7 linked regions of the Mus musculus genome follow. The protein of the gene in region 1 interacts with the protein of each later gene in a pairwise test. Links are inferred from orthologs where the notes say so. Each region holds a gene or a part of one and is shown in the gene's direction. Other genes may lie near its edges.

What was found.
Region 2: the proteins of Cep70 (region 1) and Pimreg interact in binary tests that used the Homo sapiens proteins (3 or more experiments, as listed by UniProt). The two-hybrid records come from large-scale screens. The link is inferred for Mus musculus from reciprocal best matches to the Homo sapiens genes CEP70 and PIMREG.
Region 3: the proteins of Cep70 (region 1) and Taf1d interact in binary tests that used the Homo sapiens proteins (3 or more experiments, as listed by UniProt). The link is inferred for Mus musculus from reciprocal best matches to the Homo sapiens genes CEP70 and TAF1D.
Region 4: the proteins of Cep70 (region 1) and Gcc1 interact in binary tests that used the Homo sapiens proteins (3 or more experiments, as listed by UniProt). The two-hybrid records come from large-scale screens. The link is inferred for Mus musculus from reciprocal best matches to the Homo sapiens genes CEP70 and GCC1.
Region 5: the proteins of Cep70 (region 1) and Psma1 interact in binary tests that used the Homo sapiens proteins (3 or more experiments, as listed by UniProt). The two-hybrid records come from large-scale screens. The link is inferred for Mus musculus from reciprocal best matches to the Homo sapiens genes CEP70 and PSMA1.
Region 6: the proteins of Cep70 (region 1) and Rhpn1 interact in binary tests that used the Homo sapiens proteins (3 or more experiments, as listed by UniProt). The two-hybrid records come from large-scale screens. The link is inferred for Mus musculus from reciprocal best matches to the Homo sapiens genes CEP70 and RHPN1.
Region 7: the proteins of Cep70 (region 1) and Kat7 interact in a two-hybrid assay, tested with the Homo sapiens proteins (2 studies listed by BioGRID and IntAct). The two-hybrid records come from large-scale screens. The link is inferred for Mus musculus from reciprocal best matches to the Homo sapiens genes CEP70 and KAT7.

Annotation. Positions count from the first base shown.
Region 1 is NC_000075.6:99,297,949-99,300,928, forward strand, and holds the end of Cep70 (centrosomal protein of 70 kDa), read left to right. Parts: exon of another isoform or gene 1-554; coding exon 555-634; intron 635-1,058; exon of another isoform or gene 1,059-1,779; coding exon 1,780-1,841; 3' UTR 1,842-2,456; downstream 2,457-2,980.
Region 2 is NC_000077.6:72,041,097-72,045,489, forward strand, and holds the start of Pimreg (protein PIMREG), read left to right. Parts: upstream 1-1,405; 5' UTR 1,406-1,438; intron 1,439-1,920; 5' UTR 1,921-1,953; coding exon 1,954-2,241; intron 2,242-3,884; coding exon 3,885-4,162; intron 4,163-4,393. UniProt on the Homo sapiens protein: During mitosis, may play a role in the control of metaphase-to-anaphase transition.
Region 3 is NC_000075.6:15,304,822-15,309,197, forward strand, and holds the start of Taf1d (TATA box-binding protein-associated factor RNA polymerase I subunit D), read left to right. Parts: upstream 1-1,392; 5' UTR 1,393-1,462; exon of another isoform or gene 1,463-1,627; intron 1,628-2,048; exon of another isoform or gene 2,049-2,169; intron 2,170-2,906; 5' UTR 2,907-2,932; coding exon 2,933-3,000; intron 3,001-3,703; coding exon 3,704-4,094; intron 4,095-4,376. UniProt on the Homo sapiens protein: Component of the transcription factor SL1/TIF-IB complex, which is involved in the assembly of the PIC (preinitiation complex) during RNA polymerase I-dependent transcription.
Region 4 is NC_000072.6:28,418,914-28,423,406, reverse strand, and holds the start of Gcc1 (GRIP and coiled-coil domain-containing protein 1), read left to right. Parts: upstream 1-1,682; 5' UTR 1,683-2,090; coding exon 2,091-3,122; intron 3,123-4,106; coding exon 4,107-4,493. UniProt on the Homo sapiens protein: Probably involved in maintaining Golgi structure.
Region 5 is NC_000073.6:114,266,107-114,269,804, reverse strand, and holds part of Psma1 (proteasome subunit alpha type-1), read left to right. Parts: coding exon 1-84; intron 85-2,604; coding exon 2,605-2,684; intron 2,685-3,260; coding exon 3,261-3,371; intron 3,372-3,698. UniProt on the Homo sapiens protein: Component of the 20S core proteasome complex involved in the proteolytic degradation of most intracellular proteins. This complex plays numerous essential roles within the cell by associating with different regulatory particles.
Region 6 is NC_000081.6:75,702,837-75,707,280, forward strand, and holds the start of Rhpn1 (rhophilin-1), read left to right. Parts: upstream 1-1,451; 5' UTR 1,452-1,557; coding exon 1,558-1,638; intron 1,639-4,444. UniProt on the Homo sapiens protein: Has no enzymatic activity. May serve as a target for Rho, and interact with some cytoskeletal component upon Rho binding or relay a Rho signal to other molecules.
Region 7 is NC_000077.6:95,296,578-95,300,275, reverse strand, and holds part of Kat7 (histone acetyltransferase KAT7), read left to right. Parts: intron 1-57; coding exon 58-297; intron 298-3,698. UniProt on the Homo sapiens protein: Catalytic subunit of histone acetyltransferase HBO1 complexes, which specifically mediate acetylation of histone H3 at 'Lys-14' (H3K14ac), thereby regulating various processes, such as gene transcription, protein ubiquitination, immune regulation, stem cell pluripotent and self-renewal maintenance and embryonic development.

The DNA of each region.
Region 1 (2,980 bases):
GAAAGTTGTATATGGAGAAATTAAAATCTTTATAACCAATTCTTGAGTTGGATTATAACATATAATTTATTTCTAGGACACTACCAAAACTAATAATTACTAGTCATATTTTTTTGTTTAGAAGATAAATATTAAGGATTTTTAAAAGACTATGTACCACCAATGTAAAAACCTGATGTTTTAAAAAGTACATTATGAGAATGTGTTTGTGTGTGTATGTGTGTGTATGTATTGTGTTTATATATATGCATATATGTATATGCATATATGTATATGCATATACATATATGCATATATATAAACATATAAGACATATATGTATATATAAACACACACACATGTATCATCTATATATTCTGCATATTTTCCAGTAAGAACCCTTATATAATCTGGCAGTTGAGTTTTTCATACCGTCTCTCAGGCCTCTCCGCTCCTTCCATTGTTTTACTGACCACTGGTACCTTCTGTTCAGTTGAATATTGGGTAAAGAAGCCTATTTCTAGCAGATGTTCTAAAGGTGGTGCTTTTTTGTAAACTGTGTATGTTTTAAACAGTATTATCAAGAAATTGGAAGAGCATGAGGAATTTTTCCCAGCGTTTCAAGCTTTTGCTAATGATCTTCTTGAAATCTTAGGTGAGATGTCTGTTGATGGTGGCTGACTCTTTCTTGGAAGGTGTTGGTGGATTTGAAGGGGTATTCCTTAGAAATTAGGTTCATGTCTTACTCTAGGTGTTTGGAAAGTAATAACTACTTTGCAGGAAGACTTGGTTAGGATTAATTTACAGAATAGAAAAACAGCCTATAAAGAAATAAAAACTATCTTTTTCTTTTCTTTTTAAATATTTTTATATGTGTATAGATATTTGCCTGCATGTATGTATGGAGGCCAGAAGAGATGGTCTGATACTCTGAAACTAGAGTTATAGTCAGTTAGCTACTGTTGGTGCTGGGAACTGGCCCCAGGTCCTCTTATAAGAGCAGCAGGTGCTTCTAACTGCTGAGTCATCTCTTCAGCCCTCTGGGACTATCTTGAGAAATGGCATTATTTTGTGAGACTCTGGGTTCTATCATTGTTTATTAAAACATGACCAAGCAAAATAAGCTAGAAAAATGTAGAGCCTGCTGCTTGGAACCTTCCAAGGGATGGTGTCTGGCTAAGGGAAAGTACTTGCTTCCTCTGAGAACAAGAGCTTTAGAGAGTGAATTCTGGCTCAGGGTCACTGAAGTCTGATACCTTAGGAGAAAAATCAATCTCCGAAAGAACCGGAACTGCTGTGTCCGGAAGTTCATACAGGATAGGCTGTGTCCCTGAGGCTTGTTCTAAGGTGTCCCACACCTCTTACTGGACAAATCTCCCCAAAGAAGGCTGAGAACACTCTGAGACTAGAAGAATCAGGAAGGAGCACTGTCTGTGAGACCTGCAAAAGAGATGCATGTCTTCAATGTCTAATGGGACTCATGTTGGCTTGCCCATGTAGCTGTACAGAGATTTAAAGAGAGACAAAGGCATCATAAACACAGCCAACTGGATGTGTTACTAAGCCTGTGTCTGGTAAGATTAATGCCAGTCAATGGGGGCGCTGCAGATTCCCTGTGAATCCCCTGTGGGAGGCAGTGGTAGTCTGCAGCCAACCTGGGAGAGAACCCTGTGCACAACTGAGCACGCAGCTACTGCTGCCCTTGTGTGTGAAGGCGGCTTCTGCGGAGAGCGTCTCACATCTCTGAGCTTTGCACTGGAAACATCGCTCCCTTTCTAATTCCTCCTTTTCCTGTTACAGAGATTGATGACCTGGATGCCATCGTACCTGCAGTAAAGAAATTAAAGATCCTTTCATACTGAAAACAAACCAGGTCAACTTCACTGTGTAAACTGCATTCGTAACATTCTAAGCATTTGTAAAGGTCTGATCCTGAGACAAGGCTGTACACAATCAGCTCTCAGAATTCATCCTCTCACCCCGGGTCTGCTCAACCCATATAATTTTTATTTTTGATTATTTAATAAAATGTAGCTGTTAAGTTATTAAAATAGTGAGTTAACTTTAGATTCCTTAATCGTTTCCTAAGCAATGCTTGAGTGCTGTAAAATGTAAGGAAGAGATTGTGGGTAACAAAAGAGACATTGCAAAGTACAGAAAGTCGCAGTTAACTTCAAGGTTTAATGACCCTTTGGTCAGAGAAAAAAGAATGCCAGTTGCTTTCTAAGCCCAACGGATAGGAAGCCTCTGTTCTCCAGGCAAGGATTAGTGGGCATATTCTATAAGAAAACTTACAGCTATTGCCCTGTCAAAGCAAGAAGGAAAGGTTTTGTCTTTGTATTAAGATAGGAAGTTAGTCATGGAGTGAAATAGATGATTAGGTAGAAGTGTTTCTGTGTCTTTATTTGCAATACTATGTAATGTACTTTTATAAAGAAATAAGATCACAAATAAAGTTTTCGTAAAGAGTTTCCAAACGTAAGTGTCCCTAGTGACTTATTTGTATGGCTAACAATAAAGAGTCGTCTTCTCCCCCTAGGCTGACTCCCTTGGGCGTTATCCTCCCTGCACGTCACTGAAGAGGCCTGTTCTTACTGCTGTCTACTGGATCTCTAGTCTCAGTATTCAGTCTGATGGCGGGGGCAGTGTCCTGCATCACACCCATGACTACAAGCTACTTTAGGCTACCCCATATGCTTCTTTTTAAAATGCCACTCTTACTGGTTGATATATAGATTATTTTAAGTATTTCCAGGAGGCCAGCATAGTGGTATGGCGAGTGCCAGTGAACAGGGATTCAGACTCCTAGGAGTTGTGACTTGGACAACATAAAATAATATCTTAGGTTCCTTCTTACTTTATAGTCCTTTGCTTTGTCACCCTGTAGTTAAATTTCTAAATAGTAACCCAGTGGTTTTCGACCTTCCTAACGCTGTGACCCTTTAGTTCACTTCCTCATGCTGTGGTGAACCCAACCATGAAATTGTTTTCATTGCTATTT
Region 2 (4,393 bases), on another chromosome or scaffold:
GGGAGAGACCCCAGCTGGAAAAGGGTGGGGTCTGAGGAGCAACAGTGAGGGGGTCAACCCTGGTCACACAGACAACGTCCCTGCATGCATGGCCTTTGGGTCCTTCACCCTGCTACAGTTAGTGAGTGAAGTGTACGGCCAGTCTCTCCACACCCCAGCTACCTCACAGAGCTGCAGAGCACTGGGGATAAACTGGGCTTGCTGATAGAAAGGGAGTGTTTGCAAGTGCTACACACAAATCAACCATTATTATTATAGGGGGTTGGGAGGTAAACACTGAGGTCAGGAGAGGGTCAGACAATCCTGACACCAGGAAGAGGCCTGAAGAGTCTCTAGGAGTCTCACTCCAGGCTGAGGAAAGGAGAGAGGAGGGAGAAGAGAAATTCTTTTTTGAGGACCGATAAGAAGGCCCCATTGTGGTGGCACGCCAGGCCCCTTGATTTCAATCTTGGGGAGGCTGAGTGTGGCCAGTTAGAACCAACCACCTCTAACTCCAGCTCCAGAGGGTCTGACTTCCTCTTCTGTGTCGCCACCACGCCACCCCACAGGCATTTACATGCACAGAGACATATAATTAAAAATAAAAATATTTTTTTTAAAAAAAGTCAAAACCATAAAAATGAAAGCATGGGAGAAAGTGACCCAGCCTGGGTTGCTGTTGTTTGTCGTCGTCGTCTTTGTTTCTTGTTTTGTTTTTTTAGCTTGCTGGCAGACTACAGGAAAGAAAGATTGAAAGATGCGTAGAGCAAGACCCGGCAGAGGAACTGACCTAACTGTGGAGAGGGTGATCTACAGTCTGTCCCCTCCTCTGAGATGTGCTTTCTTGGGCGCCGCCAGCAGGGTGTTTGTTTGAGGAACAGACAGGGGCAGGGCCATCTCGCAGGAAGGAAGAGAATTACGCGGGGAATTTGAAACAAAACTTCCCAGGGATCGCAAAGCTCGGCAGTCCCAGCCTATCGCTTTGACAAAACTACTTATCGTGGGAGAGAAGTTAGGCGGGGTGAAGGACTGAAAGGGGCGCGTGCCCTGGGTGGCGGTGACCTGAACCCCCGCAGCATCCTGCACCCTGACCTGCATGCTTGAAGAAGAGAGCTTGGGAGAACGATGGACTAGGCGCGGTCGCCTGGGACCAAGCAGCCGGGATGTAGGGAGGCGGGCTGGTCGGTAACAGTGATCCGGTGGCGACCTGGACCCCTCTGCGGCGAGCCAGGTGGGGGGTCTACGAACGATGTATGGGCGTGGCCAGGCCAATCCCAAAGCAGGATTTACAGTCACGAGAGAAAAAGACCAATCGAAATCCGGGGCGGCGGTGGTGGATGGCTGATAGGGCCAATGGGCTGCAAGCGCCGGGGCGGGGCGGGGCCGCGCGGAGTTTCAAATCGGCTGCGGTGGGCTAGGAGAGGGTGTTGATCTTCGGGTCCGGGTATCGAGCAGGGAGGTGAGCATGCGGGGTTACCGAGGGGCTTAAGGAGGGGGGTGGGGGACGGTCTCACGGGGAGCTCTGAATGGGGAACGGGTCAGGAGCTCTGGATAGGACCCACAAGACAAAGGGAATGTCTAGGAGTTGCAAACGCCCCATCGGATCCGAGGCCTTGGCTGGATTGCTAAATCTGCTCCGGAGAGGAAAATTTGTGAAAACAGCATACTGCTGGTGCCCTGCGTAAGCGCCGAGGCTCCGTGACCTGTGTGCCACTCCACTTAGCCTATGGGGAATAGGCTAGGATGGAAAGACGGACAAATTGCCGCCTTGCAACGGAGGCAGCTGCTGACCATGATGCCATTGGTCATCTTTCTGGCATCCACAATTGCCCAACAGGCCTACCCCGCGAGGTTCCACTTCATCTCTTTCCCAGTTCCCAAGGTCCCTGGAGCCTTGGAATGGGGTCAGGGAGTACTTTGATGACCTTTTGACCTCCCCAGGATCTAGCGGGCAGCGGAAACTGGACCAAGCACATGGCGTCTCAGTGGCAGGGCATGAGGACCTCTGTGCGCAGACGATCACTCCTAAAGGAGGAACAGCTAGAGAAGAAGGAGGTGACCCGGTCTGCTGGGGGTCATCCGGAGACCGGTCCCTTGGGCTCCCTGTGCAGACAATTCCAAAGGAGGCTGCCTCTGAGAGCGGTCAGCCTGAACCTCGGTAACGGCCCCTCCTGGAAACGCCTGGAAAGTCCAGAGCCAGAGCAGCAAGGTCTTCAGGCTGCAGCTCGCTCAGCCAAAAGCGCCTTGGGTGCCATGTCCCAGGTAACAATGACACCACCAGCCGTCTGTTTACAGAAGCGTCCTTGGTGTTGACTGTCCCTATCCTCAGGGAGACCCCAGGAATATAGACTCCATGGGGTCTTGGGGTTTGATTAGGTTCTTGCCATTTTCCCAGAACCCCGGTCATTCTGGCACATAATAGTTTCCCAACAAATCAGTAGGTGAATAAAGTCATGGAAGAAATTGGTGTTCCCCATGCAAGGTGACCTGCCATGTCCTGTGATAGAAAATTGCAGGAAATGGCTATCTATAAAGAGATACCAGTCTCAAGCTTAGTGGATAAAGACTTCCTAGAATAGGTGACTCTTCCAAGATCACTCAGGAAAGGGGAGGTGTATGTAGGCACAGGGCCAGTGGGATGCTGTGAGTGAGTCCAGCGTGGATGCTGAAGAGAAGAGTCCCCAGTGTGAAGCTAAGCAGTCAGTATAGTGAGAGAGGTGATCCTGTGTGCTGACCCCCATTTAAAGTCTCCCAGTCACACTCTTACACCTTAGCTGTCAACTATTTGGTAGAAAAAGGCAGAGGAGCGGGGCTTGCAGAAAGGGTGCAACTTCCTGAGCGGTTCAGAAGGCAGATTTGAGGGGTGGTGTTTGTGTGTGGTGTGTCCAAGAGCCTTCGAGCAGATATCTTCTTTTAATGTTTTAATATTTATCTATGGGAGGAGCGCTTATGCAGTGGTACTTGTCTGGAGGTCAGAGAAGGAATAAGGTCTCCCTCCACCGTGTGGGTTCTGGAGATCACACGAGTTGCCTGGTTTGGTGGCAAGAAGATGTACCTGTTACGATATCATGTTGACCCCACCTAGGTCTTTAAACCTGGAGCTGGAGATGTGGGCAGGTGTCCCCTGGACAGGACAGAAGCTATGAGAATGAGCAGACCTCTAAGAAGAGAAGGGGGAATGGCCCCTGGCATCTTGCTGGCATTCTGATGGTGTAGGGAGAGAGCAGAGGCCTCTGACGACTCCACAGAGAGGTCTCCTTGCCAAAGTCTAGCTCTGACTTGGAAGAGCCCTAAGATTGCTTTCAACATCGCTATAGCTCAGAACAATGAAATGTGACAGTTTGTCTAAGGTCACCCAACTCATGAAAACTTATCTCGGGCCTTGCTCCAACTTCTGGGTTCTGGTTTGCCAAGGCAAAGACAATCTAGCAAGGCTGTTTGACCCAGCCACATGTTGAAGATCCAAGGGTTGGGACTCAGCCCTGTAGATTATTGGGAGCCATGGAAGGGCTCAGAGCAATTAAGTGTTATGAGCAGACCTGTCATTGAAGTATGTTAGACTGAGATGGAGGAGGGAAGAGAAAGAATAGGACTAAGGTAGGATCCAGAGCTGGCATCCAGAAAACTGAGCCTCCCTCACTCTCTGAGTTAGTCTCTGCCTGGGGGCTCAGATGTAGAGTGGTCTTGCTGCTACCTGCTGAGTTACCACACTGGATCTCAGGAAGGTCTTGGAGGAGAGTACCATCTCATGGGGAGTCATGCTGTTGCTCTTGGCTTACTGTTGCTGCTGCTTAGTAACAGCAGACTGTGTTTGTGGGGCCAGCCCTGGGCTGGAAGAATGGCTAGAGCCTGGTAGCCCACCTTGGTCCTATCTGTGCCAACCTTCTCACATGAACCCATCACAGAGGATCCAGGAGTCCTGTCAGAGTGGCACCAAGTGGCTGATGGAGACACAGGTGAAAGTGAGAAGGAAGCGAGGAGCCCAGAAAGACAGAGGGTCACCACCACCCAGTCTGAGCCAGAAGAACACTCGGCTATGCAGGGCCAACCGGGATGCTAGAGTCGGGGGACATCTTCGCCTCTCTGGCCAGATGGGTCCGCATGCCCATCGCCGTCAGCGGCTAAGGAGGGAGTCTGCCCTCCGGAGCCCCTGTTCCTCCACAGAACCTCTCTGCTCTCCCAGGCAAGTAGTCGTCTGAGCCCAGGAGGACCTCCCCTTCTGTCCCACGAGTCTCCTCAGTCACCTGGGACGAGAATGCCCTGATCTGTCACATCCTAGTTCTGGCCCAGGTCTGCCCCAAAGCTGGTGAGGACCTGAGGGGGAAAAAAAATCTCTGAGCCTCAGTTTGCTTAGCTGTAAAAGGAATAGGAGATGAGTATCACTCCCTCCTAGATGGGAGACATCTGGAAGACC
Region 3 (4,376 bases), about 84 Mb from region 1:
TTAAAGTCCCTCAAAATTCTCAAATCCATGACAGACATATTGTACTTCTTACTGTACAGAAAAGGAAACAAAATTTATTCAAGATCATTCAGTTGTTACATGGCAGAAACAGGATTCAAAAGCAGGTTCAAGCCAGGCATGGTGGTGCACATGTTTAGCTCCAGCACTGGAGGCAGAGGGCTGTAAAGGCAAGAGGTTCTCTGTGAGGTTAAAGCCAGCCTGGTTTACAAATCAAGTTCCAGGATCGTCAGGGCTACATAAAGAGACATGTGTCAAACAACAGCAGCAACAACAACAAACTCAAAGGCAGGTCTGTAAATCCAGAATGCACCCCACCCTAAGCTGAATCAGCAGTGAAGAAATGGCCCCTTTGGCTGACACCAGGAAGACTTCAGAATAATCCTGCAGCACCAGGAGAAGTGCCCATCTTCCACCTAGAGGGGACTTCTCTCTTCCAAATATATTGCACACAATATATTGCTAATTATTAGGTACTTATGATATACCACACTTTTACGATATACTAGACTAGTAGGGTTCAAGCACAAGGCTGGCTTTACAGCTTTGCAAATAGTTCATTCAGTCACATAGGACCCTATATTCATACTGATCTAACCACACACACAGGTCTTTGTTTGCTTTTTTTGTTTTTATTTTTTTTTCTCCGTGGTGCCATGTACACTAGGCAAGCTCTCTATAATCCAGTTATATCTCTAGGCCAACAACTTTACATTTGAAATGTGTTTGTCTATGAGAACTCAAGGGATAGTAATATCTGCCCTCTCACCACAGATCTTGTCACGCACTCAATAAGGTGTTTGTAATGTTCCCTTACAACTTAGTCCTAGTGGACCTGCATGGGTGCAAAGCCAGAGTCAATGCTGCAGGATTCCACAGACTGTTGGACAGTGTGTGCAGGGGTCAAAAAGTAGAAGGTGCCGGGCGTGGTGGCGCACGCCTTTAATCCCAGCACTCGGGAGGCAGAGGCAGGTGGATTTCTGAGTTCGAGGCCAGCCGGGTCTACAAAGTGCCTTCCAGGACAGCCAGGGCTACACAGAGAAGCCCTGTCTCGAAAACCAAAAAAAAAAAAAAAAAAAAGTAGGAGGCAAGTGAGGACACAGGGACAGTACAGAAATCCATAACACATGCCACCCTTAGTCTGACAGAGAGCTTGGCACACTGCGGGCTCAGTCACCACAACAAATCGACGCTCACCTGGCCCGCAGTGTCCTCCCACTTGCAGGAAGGCCTTCTTTCCACTCAGGTTCGAACACAGGTTTAGTCTCCTGCCAGTCTTTTCTGATAGCTCTAGGCCAAGGGAGAGCCGGGGTACCGCCCCTCCCGGAGGCCCGCCCACCACACGCACAGCCACGCCCACCAACGTGTACTCACGCGAGATTTCGTCCTTGTCCTAGTCCGGCTGCTGGGCGCCGGGAGCGCTCTTTTCGACGCGGCGGAAGAGGTAAGCGGTTGTTCACTGTGGCCGCTCAGGTCTGCTGCGGGCGACGGGGCCGCAGGGCGGGGTTCTTTGGGCTGCGGTCCGCGCGGAAACGGCGCTCTTGTAGGGCCAGAGCAGCGGGCCGGAATCCCGCCATCCGCAGGCCGCACGAGGCTCCGGGTCGCTGTTGGGAGAGGCCGAGGTGTTCTGGGCCTGGAGGGCGTTTTTAGTGCCGTGTAAGGGGTCGCGTGCTGCCTGCGCACATCTCTTAGGTTACGTTCCGAAAGGGTCTTGCAGCGGGCCCACGGCGCATAGTCGACGCAGCTCACCACGTGGCCTCCAAAGCTTGTAGTCTCGGAACTGTAAAGTAGCGTACAGGTGGGAGTGATTCCTAGGAATTATCTTTGATTTACTCACAGGCATATCGTTGGGGCGACCGGGTCAACCTTAAATTTCAGTTTTGGTGGGTTAATTTAAAAAAGCAATTCATGTAGCGGGCATTTTGCAATCTAAGGTCGTAGTCACCCTGTTTTTCTTATCCTCGAAAGTTGTGATTATTTTTAGTTCTAGGATTTTGTGTAGCCTAGGAAAACTGTAGTCTTTTCTCCTTTAGTACATATGGCCGTTTTGCCTGCCTAATATTTCTACACCACGTGCACGCAGTGCTCACAGAGCCCAGAAGAGGACATCGAATCTCTTAGGACTGCTTACAGCTATTTTTAGGCTGGCATGTGAGTTCTGGGAGTCTCATCTTAGTCCATTGACAGTATTCTATTCATTTCTTTTTTGGGGGGGGAGGTTTCGAGACAGGGTTTCTCTTTATAGCCCTGGCTGTCCAGGAACTCACTTTTTAGACCAGGCTGGCCTCGAACTCAGAAATCCTGCCTCTGCCTCCCGAGTGCTGGGATTAAAGGCGTGCGCCACCACGCCCGGCCATTGACAGTATACTTAACTGCTAGGCTATCGTCTCAGCCATAATCTAAAGGTTCTTTTACACGTTGTTAGGATTACAGGCCTGTGACCATTTGATCAGTAGTGATTTTTGAGCCACTATCGCCATATCCCAACTACCCGAACTCTGTTTCAGTGTCGAGTTCGCAGCCCAGATTGGAATTAGAAATGCTACTGTGAGGCTAGGTGGTGGTTAAAGCCATGTCGGGTTTTGGGGGTAGATTTAGTGAGAAAACAAACTGCATTGGAATGTGGCTTCTTGTTTTCACTCACATATTTAAAGAAAACTATGCCATATGTGTGAGGGTACTCTGGAAGACAAAAGATCACTAACAGGGAGCTGGAGTTAACAGGAGATTGTGAGCAACCCGATGTGGATACTGGAAACAAGCCCACTCAGAGGCTTTAAAGTAGATATAAAATGTACTATCCATAGGGATTTTACAGAAATTCACACAGTGGGAAGGAGTATGCTGAACTTAGACTGCTGGTACATCATTGAAATCTGTGATTGCAGAAAATTGGGAAAGGCCGCGAAAAGTGATGGCTCAATCAGAAGTGAATTCTGTCTGTGTGGCATCGGATAGAGCTGGAGATACTGGAGACCAAAGGTAAGGTAGCTTTTGTGGGTAAACTAGAGATTCAGTCCAAATGTTCAATTTATTTTTGAGACATCTCAGTAGATAGAGCCATGGCTGCCCTCACCCAGGTAATCCTGCCCATCTACCTCTCAAGAGTTGGGATTAAAGGCATGTTACCACACCCTGCACTCCAGCAAGTTATTTGTAATGCTTGTACTTAAAATAGATAGAGAGAACCTCAATTAGCATTTATATTAGCTTGACAGTTTGATTAAAACTGTATAATTCTACCAACCTGAACATGTAGGAATGGAACATAGTTTATTTTTTCCAAGAAAACTACATTTGGGGGGCTAGTTCTGGTTTTATTGGCCCATTTTTGTTTAGTAGGTAGATAGTGGAAGCTTTAGTGATTAAGTGGTGCTTTTGAAAGTTAAAACTGAACATTTTAACCAACTGTCTTGTTTTAGATATAATAGTAAGTACTAGTGGTTAACTGGTACTGAATCTATTCTAAAATGCTGGGTATGATTTTAGGGGGTTGATCTTTGAAGAAATGCACTTTGAAATTTTAACATGGTTTTTAGGTTTGTCATGCTTTTGTCTGGTGTTCTAAGGGCAGTAAAGGCTGTTGGAGCTGTGAACTGAAGGAATGCATGATTGGGAGCATGGCCTTGAAACTCGGGGAGGATTATAGCTAATGATAACTGATGCAGTTTCATTTTTGTTTTAGTGATGACTCCTCTGATGGCAGCTTATTTAAAACTCAGTGTGCTCCTTCACCTATACAAAAGCAAAGACACCCTACTGTGAAACGTGTTACTTTACCTGCAAGTGTTGAAACAGATTCATCAAGTGACTCTTCTATAGAACCAAGGCCTCTGACTTTAAAGGCTATTTTTGAAAGATTTAAAAAAAAGAAACGGAAAAAGAGGAAAAAGAGAAAATATGAGCCAAAATTAAGACCAAGAGGAAGACCAAGAGGAAAACCATCGGGAACGAGGATCACTAGAAGGTCGCAAATAGATGCAAAACAAATTAAAGACAAAGGAGCTGTGTTTCCATTCTTAGAATCTGAGAGTGGAAGAAAACCTTTACCTTGGAAGAAAATTTTAACATATGAGGTGAGTTTTTTTTTTAAATGTAGGTGAATACATTAGGTAAGATTGAATGGTTTGTTGGCCATTCTTAATTGTTTGAGGGACACCTGAAACAGATTGTTACTTTTAACAATAGTGACATCCATATAAAGTGCTCCAATTTTCATCTCTTGCATCACTAGAGAAATGTGCACAAGCATATTTATCAGTGTGCACACAGATTTATGGAGTTGTACTCCAGCTGGGTCCCTTGAGGTCCCTTATATTATCTCTAGACTATTCTGAAGCACACCACACCCAGCTTGC
Region 4 (4,493 bases), on another chromosome or scaffold:
TGACCGCAGGACTTTGCTTTACTCTTAAGTGGTAAACTTGCATTCCTGAGAAGACTTTGATAGAGTCGAAAAGTACATTTAAAAGATTCTCAAAGTAGCTCATTGTCTTTTGTTTTGAAACACTATGTCCACTATGTAGCCTTGGGTGGTCTGGAACTTGCTATGTAGACCAGCCTAGTCTCGAACTCACGGAGATGTGACGGCTGCCTTGGCATCTTGAGTAGATTTTTATTACAGAAATATTTTCTTAAAACCCGTTGTCACTCTTATTTCATCTCTTTCCCTCCCCGCACCCCTCTCACAGGCTTGGTATCTTCATAATGTCACAGGAATCTTATTTTGTTTCTAGCTCCTCCCCACCCTTTTTTTTTTTTTTTTTTCGAGACAGGGTTTCTCTGTATAGCCCTGGTTGTCCTGGAATTCACTTTGTAGACCCGGCTCGCCTCGAACTCAGAAATCCACCTGCCTCTGCCTCCCAAGTGCTGGGATTAAAGGCGTGCGCCACCACGCCTGGCTCCCTCCCCACTTTTATTTCGTGTTCATGTGTGGAGGTGTAGCTCTCAGAGGACAACCTGTGGGAATATGTTCTCTCTTTCCACCGTGTGGGCCCTGGTGATAGAACTCAGGTCAGATCATTGGGCCTGGGTGGAAAGTGCCTTTACTGCTGAGTCGTCTTACAGTCCCCACAAGAGTCTTGATGGAAAAGAAAAAGGAGACTTGATGGTGTGCTCTTGAGATGAAAATCTTTTCATGTCTTGTCACCTAAGGTAAAATCTAAATGCCTTTAAGTTGGGTCCTTTGTTCCAGCCTCATCAGTAGCCACCCTTCTCCCACACCATAAGCTTCCTGGGCAAGTTAGGCTCACTGATGCCTGACGTCCCTATACACCTTTCCACTTTCCTCCATGCTGGTTTCCCACATCTGCATTGAGCTTGGCAGTCTACTCATCTCTCAAACTTCAAATCATTTCCCCTAAGAGTCTCTGTCCTGGCAGGTGCCTCATCTCCTTTATACCACTTCTGCAATGCCCCGACACACTAGTGTGAAGGCAGGAGCTACCTGTTTGAATCTCTGTGTCCTTGCTGTTAGGAGTTTCTTGGGACAAGGCCATGCTTCTTCAGTAGTGCTATCTGGCATAGCATGTAGTATGTTGAGAGGCAGACTGAGATAGGACTCCTAAACTTCCTAGCTGAGTGACATTGGACATGTTACCCCTCTGTACATTTTACTCTATGTTCCCGTAAGTGTAACTCTTGTGACACAGCCCTGACCCCAGCATATGCTGGTATGCAAGATGGGCCTTATGGCTATATAATGCCCCTTTTACTAATCAGAACTAAGGGAGGGAGCTATTATGCTTTACGTTAACCAGGTACCGGCCTCGTTTTCCTAGTATGAGTCCTAACTGTTGCCCCAAATGTTGGACATTGCCCCAAATAGTTTGATGCGTCTTTCATCTATGTTTTTGGGGCAAATGCAGTGCGACGTCGCCCCCTGTCGCTCACTGGTGGTAGCTTGAGGGCAAAGTTAGGCATCTCCAAACCACTGCTCAGGTGCTTGCTCTAGACTTACCTACGGGTTACTCCCTCTCCAGGCCACCAGCAGACACGGTGCGGAAGCCCCACCCATCTCACGCCCACGGCGGGGCGGGGTCTGTGGCGTTTTGCTGCCGTCACTTCCAGGAGACCCGGAAGCGGTGCTGTTCCAGTTGTTGGGAAATCGTGATGGAACCCGGCTTAGTGTAAACCCTGGGCTTATCGTGGGCGGAGGGAGGCGGGTCTAGGTTGCGGTGGCCACAGGAGCGGCTAGGGCGGGACAGGCTCAGGGCCTGTACTGGAGAGCCTAGGCTGACTGCTCCTGCTAGGTCAGCGTCACTCCGCCTCCAGGTTGGAACTGGCTCCCACCTTCGGCCTGGCTCCTGCAGTGCTTTTGCCTGGCCACCGCGGCCCCTCATCCCGCCCGGACCGCTGGACGGACCGGGTGTATTGCCTGCAGCCAGACGGTTCTCTCTGCTTCACTTTTAGCTGTCCCTGTGGCTCTGCCCAGGGCTGCAAGAACGTTGACGTGGAGCGGTCCACGCCAGAACCCCCATGGAGAAGTTTGGGATGAATTTCGGGGGCGGCCCAAGTAAGAAGGATCTCTTGGAGACCATCGAGACACAGAAAAAGCAGCTTCTCCAGTACCAGGCAAGACTCAAGGATGTGGTGCGTGCCTATAAAAGCCTGCTGAAGGAGAAAGAAGCCCTGGAGGCCAGCATCAAGGTACTGTCGGTATCCCACGAGGCGGATGTAGGCCTCTCAGGTGTGCAGCCTCCAGGTCTCACGTTTCCTGATTCTGTGGATGACCGGTGCTCCACTCACAGTGAGGACAGCACCGGAACTGCCACTAGCTTGGATACCGCAGCCAGTCTTACAAGTGTCAAGGGTGAATTTGGGGTTGAAGATGACAGAGCGGCCCGTGGACCACTTCCCCCAAAGTCTGAAGAGGCCAGTGGGTCAGAGAGTGGCGTTAGTAGTAGCAGTGGGGATGGGCCATCTGCCGGTAGTGAGATGGACAAAAGAGTGCATCAGCTGAAGACTCAGTTGGCCACTTTGACTAGCTCCTTGGCGACAGTCACTCAGGAAAAGTCCCGTATGGAGGCGTCTTACCTGGCGGATAAGAAGAAGATGAAGCAGGACTTAGAGGATGCCAATAAAAAGGCAGAGGAAGAGCGGGGTCGCCTGGAGGGAGACTTGAAGGTGCTGCAAGAGCAGATAGCAGAAACCAAAGCCCGCCTCATTACACAGCAGCACGATCGTGCCCAGGAGCAGAGTGACCATGCCTTGATGCTGCGCGAGCTTCAGAAGCTCTTGCAGGAGGAGAGGACCCAGCGCCAGGACCTGGAACTTCGCTTAGAAGAGACCAGAGAAGCCTTGGCAGGGCGGGCATATGCCGCTGATCAGGTCGAAGGGTTTGAACTGCAGACCAAGCAGCTGACCCGAGAGGTAGAGGAGCTGAAAGGTGAGCTGCAAACCATTCGAGATGAGAAGAACCGACCAGACCCCCGGCTGCAGGAGCTTCAGCAAGAGGCTGCCCGTCTTAAAAGCCATTTCCAGGCCCAATTGCAGCAAGAAATGAGGAAGGTAATTATTCTCATATCCTTCAAATAGTCATTTTAGCTTACATAGGAAATTATTATTTTTCTCTTCTGGTCATTAGATAACTGTAATGCATCCCTATGTGTGTGTGTGTGTGTGTGTGTGTGTGTGTTTGTTTCTCTGTGTGTGTTTTCATGAGGCAGGGTCTTACCATGTAACCCAGTCTGCCCTTGAACTCACAGGGATTTGCCTGCTTTTCCATACCAAGTGCTAGGATTAAGGGCACCCCTCTCCCCACTTAAGGCAGGGTCTTGTTTTAGTCAAGGGATGCCTGGTGAGATAGCGTGAGTTGTTAGTGTGAGTACTGGGACTTTGGTCTGGTTCCACATTCCCAACATGCATAGTGATATTTGATGCCAAGTGAAAAAATTGCATCAGTGAGTCCCGTGAAGTGTGGCTTTGTGTGGTGTCCTTCTAACAGGATGAAGAGTTCCTGAGTATTTCTGGGTTCAAGCCAGATAGCTCTATCTAGGCCTTGGGTGTTGGCATCTTACCAGCTGTGCTGCTTGAGGTGATACAGTGACAGCTGTGTAGGGAAAGCTTGTGTGTATCCTGAGAAGTGTGTGCTTCTAGGTAAGGTGACTGGAGGAAGCAAAGGGGATTTTCCCCAGAAGAAATGCCTTGTGTATACGCTCAGGTGAGGTTTGCCTCAACTGTTTTATAGTGTTCCCTTTCAGTAGAGAGAGGGATCTAGGTTGGGTTTGAATTTACAGGCATGTTGGGAAAGGGAAAGAATGTTACACGGTTTCTTTAAATGATTTGGCTAACAGAAACATACTTTGTATTCAAGCTTAATGAAGAATGGAAAACTATGGTAGAAAGGGCACTTCAGTTAAAAATCCCCAGTTCCCACTTGTTCTGGGTTATTCCAAGCCCTGTTCACTTCTCTGTCTCCTCCCCCACACCCAGTTGACTCTAGGGGTTTTGTGACTTTCCTGGATGCCTTGTCACCTGTTCTTTGCTTTGCAGACAGCCCTTGCAGAGGACCAGCTCCGCCAGCAGTCTCAGGTAGAAGAGCAGAGAGTAGCAGCCCTGGAGAGCCAGATCTCTGAGGTATCTGAACTGCTGGGCACCTACGAGAAAGCCAAGCAGAAAGACCAGCTGGCCATCCAGAAGCTGAAGGAGCGACTTCTGCAGCTGGACCTGGAGAACAAGACACTGGCCCTCGCAGCCTCTAGCCGGTCCTCCCTTGACATCCATGGCGACGAATCCAGTCTGGATATCAATGTCTTGAAGGACAAGATGGAGAAGCTCAAGAAGCTACTACAGGTTGCAGCTAGGAAAAGCCAGGTGACCCTGGATGTGGAGAAGCTCTGCGACCCTGAGATAATGGCCAACTCCGAGGCTGCTGACGGG
Region 5 (3,698 bases), on another chromosome or scaffold:
TTGACTGCAGAGCTATGTCTATTGGAGCCCGTTCTCAATCAGCTCGTACTTACCTGGAGAGACATATGTCTGAATTTATGGAGTGTAAGTGTAGTTTGGCTTACTTTATTTTGTTTTGCCTCTTCTAGTCTATATAGTTAGCAAATCTACCCTAAGTGAGGAAAACTAATAGTCTTTAGTTTTTTAAAAATCTTAAGGTCATAAAGTGTCTATTGTTTTATTTAATTCTAGCTACTAAGAGAACTTTATCAAAATATAAATATGTTTGCCGGGCGTGGTAGCGCACACCTTTAATCCCAGCACTTGGGAGGCAGAGGCAGGCAGATTTCTGAGTTCAAGGCCAGCCTCGTCTACAAAGTGAGTTCCAGGACAGCCAGGGCTATACAGAGAAACCCTGTCTCGAAAAACAAAAAACAAAAACAACAACAAAAATAAATATGTCTCCAACCTTGAAAAGTCTTGACATTTAGTCTGAAGTAGGCCCCAGTCAGGGTTGAAACCCATTATACTAGTTGTTATTTGTAAATTCTGTTTACAACTTAATTGTTTGTAAGTCTGTTTCTACTTTAGGACACATAGAATTTCTGCATTAAGTGGCCCATAAGCAGTATAACTGTGGGAAAAGAGGGTGAAGGGTGTAAGATGATGAAGTGGTTTTCAAGCGCTTTGCTTTGCATTAGAAGAAGGGTTAATAGCAGGGCTTTTGTTTTGTTTTGGTTTTTTTCTCAAGATTTTTTTTGTCTTGGTTTCATAAATTTTCCTGTGGCAGTATAGTATTTTTTGAAGGAAATAGGAGTTCCCAAGATCACCCACATATTGGGAGATTTTTGAGAACTCAGCTTGCTGTCATATCCTAGCCAAGACTTAACGTGTGTGGCATAAGGGTCCTAGCTTGGTCACAGAAGGAAACAGGAACCTGCAGGCTTCCCTGTGCTCCTACCCTTCTCCTGAGTGTCAGGGCAGCTGAGTGATGCTTCTGTCTAAGGAGCTTTGCTAGAGAGTCGTTCCAACCTGGCGGGTACTTAGGGAATAGTTCAGTGTTGTAATATAGATGACACTGCCTTATGATGGCTTAGCTCAGGATGTCTTGACTTTATAATATGCAAAAACAACATGCACTGCAAAGGAAATGAAGTCCTGAATTTAGATTTTTATCTCCTCCTGGGTTAGCCACTTCGTTAAGATCCTCTATCTAATGCAGGGCAGCAGCAGTGAGTCATGAGCCTAAGCCAGCCACACAGTCACATACGCTACGCTGCAACATTTGGTAGGCAAGGTGTGTTGTATGCACATTTTACTTAACATTGGCCATTTACTGTGGGTACTCCCATTGTAAGTTAGGCAACATCTGGACATAGACTTTTGTTACATTTACTTAAGTCTTTCAGTGGTATTTTGTAATTTTTACTTTATAAGTCTTGTGTTTCTTTTGTTTAACTTATTCATACTTTATTCTTTTCATATTGTTTTAAGCGTTTTCTCAATATCATTTGCAGATTGCTTATAAGAACTTGATATTTACATATTGATTGCATGTCTTGAAACCCTAAGAACACTTCATTAATTCCAATCTAGTGGATTCCTTAGATCTGAGATTATATCACTAGGTCACATCATTTGCAGTAGAGGTGGTTTTACTTACTTCCTAGTCTTAATGTGTGCTGTTTCTTTCTTGCTTCCCAGATAGGTGCATTTTGTTTTTATTGAATGCCTTGGCTAGAACTGTCAGTATAGTGATGAGTGGAAGTGATGAGGGCATTTGTCCTTATTTTATTCCTGAGACTGAGGGAAAGCGTTCAGTCATTCTCTTAGGTATGATGTGAGCTGTGAGATGAGTAAGTGTTTTTATTAGGTAGGAGTTGGGAGTTTATCACGTGCTTGTTATAGCTGACTCAAATGGTCGTACCTTTTTTCCTCTTAGTCTATTAATGTATTGTGTTACATCAGTTGGCTTTTCAAATGTTAACCATGTCTACATTCCTGAGAAAAAATACAGTTGGTTATTATGTATAATCTTTTCTCCTTTGTTGTTGGGTTCTGGTGGTGGTGGTAGAAATGGTGGTAGTAATTTTATTTTGGTTAAGATGAGGTCCCATTGTGTAATTGGGATTGACCTAGAATTCTCTATGTAGCTCAAACTACTCATAATCTCCACCCCAGCCCCATACCCTCCCAAGTGCTAAGGTAATAGATATGCACCACTTATTTGGGTGTCTTTATTCATAGGGAAGATTGGTCTGTAATTGTCTGTAATGACTTTGATATCAGGTAATACTGACCACAAAGAATTGAAGGCTCATTATTTATGAATATAAAAACCTGAATTCTACAAAACACATTCTATAAAATTGAAATGTCATTTGTGACCAGGACTTTTATTTAATCTAGTGAAAGACAGATCATATTTATTACTAAAAAGCATCAAGTAGTCATTGATGTTGGTTGATATTAGATTAGATTAGATGCTAACATTACACTTTTGGCTGTTTTATTCTATATAATATGTCATTCAAGCCACAATTAAAGACTACAGACTTGATAATTAAAAGAAGCCTTATTATGATGGTGAAATTAAGAAATTATTTTGTAATTTATTGCATACAGGCAATTTGGATGAACTGGTTAAACATGGTCTGCGTGCCTTAAGAGAAACACTCCCTGCAGAGCAGGACCTGACCACAAAGGTAACTCAAGGTCCCAATTGTAGGTATAGTTTAATCCTCAGTCACAAGGGATAAAACAGCATGTCCTTAAGTCATTTTAATTGCTTTGTTCGTTATTTCCTTTCTAGTCACCAAATTCTCTGGTTTTGAAATGTCATGTTTAAATTGGGGTGGGAGGTTATACAGCAATAAAATGTCTGCAGTTTTTATTTTGTTTTGTCTACAGTAGGTATTCGTACCTTTATCAGATATTTACATTAGATTCCTAACAGTCTCAGAAGTGCAGTTATGAAGAAGCAATGAAAATAATTTCCTGGTTGGGGGTCACAACAGCGTGAGGAGCTGTATTAAAGTATTAGGAAGATGAAAACCACTGGTTGAGGGGAGACTTCATTACTAATGACATGGACCTTTGAGATTTCTCATAATAACCGACAGTGAATATTGGATCTGTAATTGAAAGAGCCATGGTTTCCTGCCTCTTTTCACTCCTACCTATAGGTTTTAAAACTTTGAACTTAATTGCTATATAATTTTTTCTACTTTGTGCCCAGCGTTTTATTATCCATATGTTAATTTCCCCCCCACCCCCATCAGAATGTTTCCATTGGAATCGTTGGTAAAGACTTGGAATTTACAATCTACGATGATGATGATGTATCTCCATTCCTGGATGGTCTTGAAGAAAGACCACAGAGAAAAGCACAGGTATGTTCCATGTTACGCATCATAACATGAGGTTTCAGCTTTACTGTAAACTGCTGTTCCTATCACAACCATGTAAATTCTGGCTTTTGTCTTTCATTATTGAGGTAGGTCCATAATTGAAATAACAATTAAGAAAGCACTGACTCAAGTAAAATATTTTTATAGTAGTGATCTCCAGAAACACAAAGAGGAAGAAGGGTTTGGTTCTCTATCACTGCATAACTAAGGTCACCCCAGAATTTACAGATTTAGATCACATTTCTTAGAGTTCTGTTGTTGACTGAGGCATGGATGGTAGACTGCTGCTCTTACTTGGGACCTCACAAA
Region 6 (4,444 bases), on another chromosome or scaffold:
CCTGTAGTCTCTTGTTCCTGGGGTTCAAGTACCCTTTTCTGGACTCTGCAGGCACAGTGCTCATCTGCAGAAACACACACACACACACACATTAAAATAAATCTTTAAGAGAAACAGTTGCTTTAGTCAGGCATGCTTTGCTGGGTGGATGTCAGTCTAAGCACACAGGATTCTGAAGACACAGAAGTCTGAATTCAGGGGTGCCTATGCAGGAGGGTGACAGCTGTGCTAGGTGACAGCACATGTGGTCTCTGTTTAGTTCTAAGGTGATGACCACACCTAGGCAGCATAAGAGCCCGGAGATGGAGGAGGCTGCTCATGAGGATGTCAGTGGAGGAAGAAGTGAAATTAGGTGACACTCCACAGGAAGATACTAGAGGAAAGAAAAGGAAAGAAAGGAGGGGAGGGGAGGGGAGGGGAGGGGAGGGGAGGGGAGGGGAGGGGAGGGGAGGGGAGGGGAGGGGAGGGGAGGGGAGGGGAGGGGAGGGGACAATGCTGCCCTGGGATCAAAAATGCCAGGAAGTTTGGAGAGGCTAGCGGGGCAGATGAGAGAAGCATTTCTGGCGGGGGCCCACTGTCCAGGGACATCCAAGAGCTTAGCCGAGCAAATTTAGATCTGGGGATGACAGAGCCAGGTGTGTGTGAGGGGGATGGGGCGTAGAGACTGAGTCGCTGACTCAGTCAGGGCAAGCAGTGACCAGGGTGGCGGGCAGCGTGGAGGAGGCTGACCTTTGGAGCAGCTTGACAAAGGGCTAGCCACTCATTTCTAGGCTGTGTTCTCAGCTCATCTAGTGTGAGCCAGCCCACATGAATTTGAGAAGTGCTTCGGAGTAAGCCCTGCAAGGAGCTCGAGTTCTGGAAAAAGTCCAATTCTTAAAACCAATTCGGGTTCTGGAAGGCGATCCGGTTCTGGAAGCACAAGGAGGTCAAGGAGAATGTAGGCTCTGGAAACAAAATGCATAACCAGGTCCCGGAGGCGAGGTTTCTGGGGGCGGTTCTGGAAGCAAGGGGACCGCAGCGGCGCTTTGCCTCTTAGTGCCGGGAAGAAAGCAGGCATTGTTTTAGAATCAGCACAAGCACTTGTCTCTAACAAACCGTTTAAAAAACCCCATTGTAAACATTTTTGGAGCAATCCTGGAGGGTCCCGTTGCCGGGGTGACGAGATAAAGCCTTGAAGTCCCTGCAGAGGCTGCAGCGGCTCTTGGTCGCCGCCCCCAGTTCTGCTTGTCTTTTCCTAACTTTCTCCGCACGCCTAACACCTAGCGTTGCGCATGCGTACCCTGATCGGCGAGCGGCCCTGGTTGCTAAGAGTTACCAGATCCCTTACCTGGAGCCCGCCTTTCTCTCACTCTGGTTGGTAGTAGTTTCTATCCATCGGAGTAGCCCTCACCTCTGATTGGACAACATCAAGTTTTGCAGGCGGGGCCCGCGCTCTGCCGCACCGGTCAGTCGGACCCTCCAGGAGGGGGACAGTCGGAGCAGCGCGGCTGATCCTCCCTGGAGCGCGAGGGGCCTGCTGCTCGCAGCCTCTCGGAGTCAGCGTCCGAGCGAGCAGCGATGATCCTTGAGGAGAGGCCAGATGGCCAGGGCACTGGCGAGGAAAGCTCTCGGCCGCAGGACGACGGCAGCATCCGCAAGGTGGGGGCTGAGCAGGGATATGGGTCTTCAGCCTCCTGCCCCGCGCTGTGCAGTGCGGCCTTCCCGGCCTTTCCTTCCTGGGACCCGCTCCCCTGAATGCCAGGTGGGGATACTGAGGTCCCAAGGAGAGACCAGAGCCGGTGTTCCAGCCCGATGGGAGTAACACTGGAGCAGTCACGGTCTAGATGGTTCCCCTGAAGCTAGAGAACCCCTTGGGTCTCAGAACCAAGAAGTTGGTTCTGATGGGTGACAACCCCCACTCCCTCACCTCCACAAGCAAGCACGTGTTTTTTTCTGACGTCTAGAAAGCCTCCTTCTCTAACAGTGTCTTCTGCGTGCCCCGCTGTAGGAGTCAGTGTCCATTAGTGGTTAGATTGTGACAGCAGACAGCAAAAACCTTCGGAACTTCACGGGGAAGCCTGACTACTTTTCCCCAACATACATCCCCTCCAAAGCTCCTGAGTCTGGAGATGAGGGTGCCTGGGCTTCCAGGAACACAGGGGTGAAGTGGAAACTAGTTTGCTCTTTGCCTAAGGGATATTATGTTAACCTTCTCTGCTTCTCCGGTCTGGGTATTTCCTAGGGGTCAGTGAGTGTTTGGGTTTCTTAGTATGTGTGTAGGCTCTGGGGTACTCCTGCCCATCCCCAGGGGCTGCTAAGCAGAAGCTGCTGTCACAACACTCCCGGGTGTTCCCATGGCTCTTTGCCCACCTTCCTTCCTGGTGTCAGATTGTACTTTGTTGCTGGCTGATTCTATCCAGTGTGTGTGTGTGTGTGTGTGTGTATCAGGTCTCCTGGAGGAGAGGGAGGAGAGGGAGAGGAAGAGGAAGAGAGGAAGGCACTGGGACTTGGACAGAACCCTCAAGGGCTCCATCCTAACCAGGCATGCCTGATACCACAGTGACTAGCTCAAACTGGGGAGGGGTTAGATTGGAGAGAGGGAAGGAGGGAGGGAGGGAGACGGAGTCAGCCTGCAACATGTTCTCCAGGAACTCTTCTTCCTAGGGTGGCCATGCCTTTCAGGTGCCCTGTGGAGGAAGTGCATGTTGCATTGGTCAGCCTCCCTGTGGATAGTGTGGGACTCCCCCACCCTGAGCTGACTCAGTAAGAGAAGCCTGGGAAGGCTTAGGATTGCTCTGTTCCTTCTTTCTATTCCCAGGCCTGTGTGGGGATAACTGTGTCCCCCCGCCCCCCACCTTTTGCTAATCCTTGAGGACCAGCCCAGTACAGGTCACTGGGTCTTTGAGTGGGAGGTTTTGTTTCTCTGACCCCCATGCCTTTCCTCCCTGGTCGTGGCCAGGCCCTGTTCTGGTTTGGCCACTGCTGCTGCGATGTCTGTACTGATGGCAAGTTCTCCCAGAGTTAGACAAGAGTAGCCACCATGGAGGTCAGCCATGGTTAGACGGCCTTTGTTTCCAGAGGGTGGGGAGATCATACCGGGATAGAGAGAGATGGTTACTTAGCACCTGTGCCCTCCCTGCTGAGCACTTCCTTCAGCCCAGTGTGGAAAACTGGGTGTGGGCTATCAGCTTCCAGAATCCATCCAGCCCAGCTTATCTTGCCTTTCCACCAAAACAGGTTAGGAAGCTGGCTTGGCCTCCATAAGTGAACCAAGGTTAAAAAGGGCAAGAACAGGCCCAGGGTCTGGGGCTGGTGAAACCTCAGAGTGGCTAGCTGCTGCAGCTCCCTAGCAGGTGGGGGAGGGACTGAGGCTATCGGCCATAAATAAGCTTAGAACCTTGTAGTAGGGTCTTGGGGAAAAGATGTGTGCCGTTTTCTTAGTAGCTTTGAAGACAGGAGACTGTTGTGGCCTCAAGTTTCCCTCCTGCACAGGCAGGGGTGGGTCCTGAGAAGGAGACAGTACAATGTGGCTCCACTCTATCCCTATGCTATCTTGTGCCAGCTATCCAGAAAGCGAGTCACCTATCTGTAGTCACCCAAGGATGACTTAATGGCCTCCTTCTTTCAGAGTGAGCCCAGGTGCCACTTCTGTGGGCGCTCTTCAGTGACATGAAAGCTGGCTTCATGGTAACCCTGGGGCCACAGTCTAAGTGATTGCCTCCAGGAGCTCCATCCATGCCAAGGCGAAAGCGTCGCTTTAACCCATGCAAGATGCTGAGGCTGTCCTTTGCATGACAGTAAGCCACACTTTGAATGCATGGCCAGGATCAGCTCTGCCAGGATTTACACACACACACACACACACACACACACACACACACACACCCCACTCTGTGTCACTTGGACTAGAGCCTTTCAGTTTCTGTGACCTCCTCCCTCATATGTGATCACTAGTGAGGGTGTTCCCCAGGGAAAAGAGCCATCAGCAAAATCTTTACCACGAAGTCTTAAACCGGCGGGTTAACCTGGGCAGGGCAAAAATGCTGCGCTGCGTGGCTTGGAGGACCTCAGGCTTTGTGCAGCACCACCAATTCCCCACGCCTTGGCAGCTCTGGGAGGAAGCCCTGTAGGCCGTGGCCGAGCCTGTAGTTGGAGAGAGGGGACATCACAGATGACGCAGGCCACTGATCTCACATTACCCAGGAGGAGCTCTCATCTGACTGGAGCTGCCAAAGGGACACTGGAACCCAATGCCTTGTTCACTGTGTCACAGACCGGGTACCCAGTTCCTGAGCAGCACCGTCTCATGGCCCATCACTGCACGGCTCTCAGTGCCTGTGACCACACTACTTCAAAAGCCTTGTGGGCAGAGGCCCGGAGACAAGACTCCAGGGCTAAATAGACTGGGTCCTTTCAAGGAGGTTCGTCCTGTGCTTTGGTAGTAGCTCTCTGGAAAGGTGGTCAG
Region 7 (3,698 bases), on another chromosome or scaffold:
GCCAGTCTTTAAATAGAGGGACCCACTCACCAGTTCTACCAATTGCTTTTTCTTTAGAAACTAAAAATACAGCTGATCATGATGAGTCACCACCTCGAACTCCAACCGGAAATGCACCTTCTTCTGAGTCTGACATAGACATCTCCAGCCCCAACGTGTCTCATGATGAGAGCATTGCCAAGGACATGTCCCTGAAGGACTCAGGCAGTGATCTCTCTCACCGTCCCAAGCGACGTCGATTTCACGAAAGCTACAATTTCAACATGAAGTGTCCTACGCCGGGCTGCAACTCTCTAGGTGAGTGTGCCCCAGCTTCATGACCGTTGTGGCCTGGGGATCCTGTTGTGGGGTTGTGAACTCAGAGCAATCGTGAACAAGAGCTGTTCTTGGCCTATTGTCTGTAAATATTAACAGATCTGGTTGCAGGAAATGTAACAGTGATGAACCACTCACTTTTTTCAACATGTTTTTCCCAGTGAAAAATTCCCTCCTTTCCTAAGCAGGAACAAAACTGGAAAACAAGTTCTCTCTGGAATGCCTCGTCCTATGGCGGGTGGTTGGTGCTTATAGGTACTGATAGAGTATAAGATAATGCCTGATAATGGCTTCGAGGCCACTGCTGTTCAGGAGACAAGGAAAACAGAGTTGTTTTTTTTGTTTGTTTTTGGTTTTTCAAGACAGGGTTTCTCTGTGTAGCCCTGGCTGTCCTGGCACTCACTTTGTAGACCAGGCTGGCCTCGAACTCAGAAATCCACCTGCCTCTGCCTCCCAAGTGCTGGGATTAAAGGCGTGCGCCACCACGCCCAGCAAGAACAGAGTTCTTAAGAGGCTGTAAATCAGGAGAGTTTGCATGAGACCAGACCTAAAGATGCCTTTGAATATGAATTTTTTTGTTTCCTAGTGCATATAAAACTTTTCTTTATACTTATAAAGTATGCCAGTAGCATTGTGTACTTTTTAAAGGTAAATTCTTTTAAAAATGTTTTGTTAAAGATGCTAATGTAGGAGCAGTTGGGAAATTGGTGCCAGTAGACTTGTTAAACAGCCATAGCCTTGAGTTTGTAAGGCATGCAGTCTCTGAGAGCAGGCTTCCACAGCGGTGACGGCACTCTCTACTCTGTGTGTGGTCCCACCCAACAGTTTTCTCTAAGAAATGGCCTCCTGTTGCTTAATAGTAAGGACATATTTTGAGAGCATGTACTGGGCTGGGGAGATGGCTCAATGGGTAAGAGCACTGACGGTCCAGAGTTCAAATCCCAGCAACCACATGGTGGCTTACAACCACTCATAATGAGATCTGACGCCCTCTTCTGGTGTGTCTGAAGACAGCTACAGTGTATTTACATATAATAAATAAATAAATCTTTTTTAAAAAAAGAGAGAGCGCATGTACATGACAAACAGAGATGATATAGCCTTCTATACACTTGGGCTGTTGGGGGTGTGTTTGTATATGACAGCCTATTGCTCCTACACCCCGGTGAGCAAAGCAAACTGAGATAAGTCAGGAACAAGAGAACAGGGTGCTTTTAGAGATTTGGTAAACTCAATGTATGTGACAGTTGCTTGTGTAACTTGGATGCTACTTTACTCTGAACTTTATTGTTAAATAGAAGGATTTGAAGTAATTTTGAGCAGGGCGTGGTGGCAAGTGCCATTAATTTTCACACTTAGGTCTATGTAGAAGGAGTTGGAGTTCAAGGCCAGTCTGGACTGTCTAGTGAGCCTGTCTCCATGTAAATAGAAAAACAATGAAAAATAGAACAAATGCCCTAAACCAATTAACATGGCTGCTTATATTGTCAGTCATTATTGCTGTGTAGAATGGTATGTGCTGCATTTTTATATAGTCAGCATAGTAGGTTTGTTTGTATCAGTGTGACCACAAATACATGAATTGTGCTTGCACATAGCAACTGCAACACCACAAACCTATCGCTAGGGGGAGCTTCAGCCCCGCAGACTTCTGGGGCCCTTACTTGCCTGCTCTCCTAGTTTTATGTTTAGAGATCCACTGTTTGCTGGGCATTAGGCAAGATGTGACTCTAAGTATGTGGGTCTCAAAAGTTAAAATGTTTCTTTTTATCTTTTTTTTTTTTTGATAGGTTCTTGCTATGTGGCTCTGACTGGCCTGATAGTCACTGTGTAGTCCAAGCTGGCCTCATATTCATAGAACTAACTAACTTAATTACTTTCTTTCTCTCTCTCTCTCTCTCTCTCTCTCTCTCTCTTTCTCTTTCTCTCTTTCCGAGACAGGGTCTCTCTGTGCAGTCCTGGCTGTCCTGGAACTCACTTTGTAGACCAGGCTGGCCTTGAACTCAGAAATTCGCCTGCCTCTGCCTCCCGAGTGCTGGGATTAAAGGTGTGCGCCACCACTGCCCGGCCAGTTTTCTGTATTTGTAAGGTTTACATGTGTTTATTACGTATGTGGGATGGGTGCCCTTGTTACAGCATGCGTGTGGAGGACACGCTTTTTGAATTGATTCTTTCCTTCACCTTTTATGTGGGTTGTAGGGATCAAGCTCATGTTGCCAGACTTGAGGTCCAGGACAGCCAGTGCTACATACATAGTAAGACCAGGGCGATCATTCGATTGGTAGATAGATATAGATAGATAGATCGATCAATAGATAAATAGATAGATTGGATGAATGGATAGATAGATAGGTGGATACTGCTTAAGGGGCTAAGAAGCCAGCTCTGTGGGTAAAAGTGCTAGCCTTACAAGCAAGCCTGATAATGGAACCCTTATAAGTGTATCTGTAAAGTTCCCACTACCCTGAAATAGGCAGAGATAGACTTATTGTTGGAAGCCAGCAGAGCCAGGAGCACTGCTACACAGCACCCGAAACGAGAGAGATCCTGTCTCAGCAAGGTGGGAGGCAAAAGAAAAACAGAACAGAACATGTTCCCTCCATCTGCAGATCTTATACACACACTGCACATGTAGTCAGATGTACATATGGGCACAAAATGACGTGTAGAAAGGAGAGCAAGAAAGGGTAAATACTATGTGAAGAACGGAATGCAAGTAATGGACACTTAAGCCATGAAAGAAGTACAAAGCTAATTTTCCAGTTTTAAGTGTGGGGTTTTTTGTTTGTTTGTCTGAAGATTTGTGTATATATCTGATAGTGAAAGTGTAAAACTCATTGTGAAGTCCCACAGCTTCAGGTTGGTTAGTTATTCTAACTGTTCAGAAATTCATTTGACATGTCTGGTTAGTCCTGGTATGGGTTTTGTTTTGTTTTGCGTGCAGATTCTTTATAATAAATTTTAATAAATTGCAAACAAACAAAAAGGTAGAAGGCAAGAATCAATTTCCAAATGTCCTCTTTAGCATACACATATTAGTAATGACAATAAAAACAACAGTAATACTCAGAAATAATGACAATGATGATAGGACCTGTAGCCGGGCGGTGGTAGAACATGCCTTTAATTGCAGCACTTGGGAGGCAGAGGCAGACAGCTGCCAGCATGGTCTACAGAGTGAGTTCCAGGACAGCCAAGTCTGTGTAGTGAAACCCTGTCTCAGGAGGGAAGGGAGGGAGGGAGGGAGGGAGGGAGGGAGGGAGGGAGGGAGGGAAAAACTTAAAATGGACAGAGATGTAGCTCTGTGGGACAGTGCTTGTCTAGCATGGCTCAGGCCCCGGGTTCCATTTCCATTCGCCAATTTTTTTTTAAAGGAAAGAAAG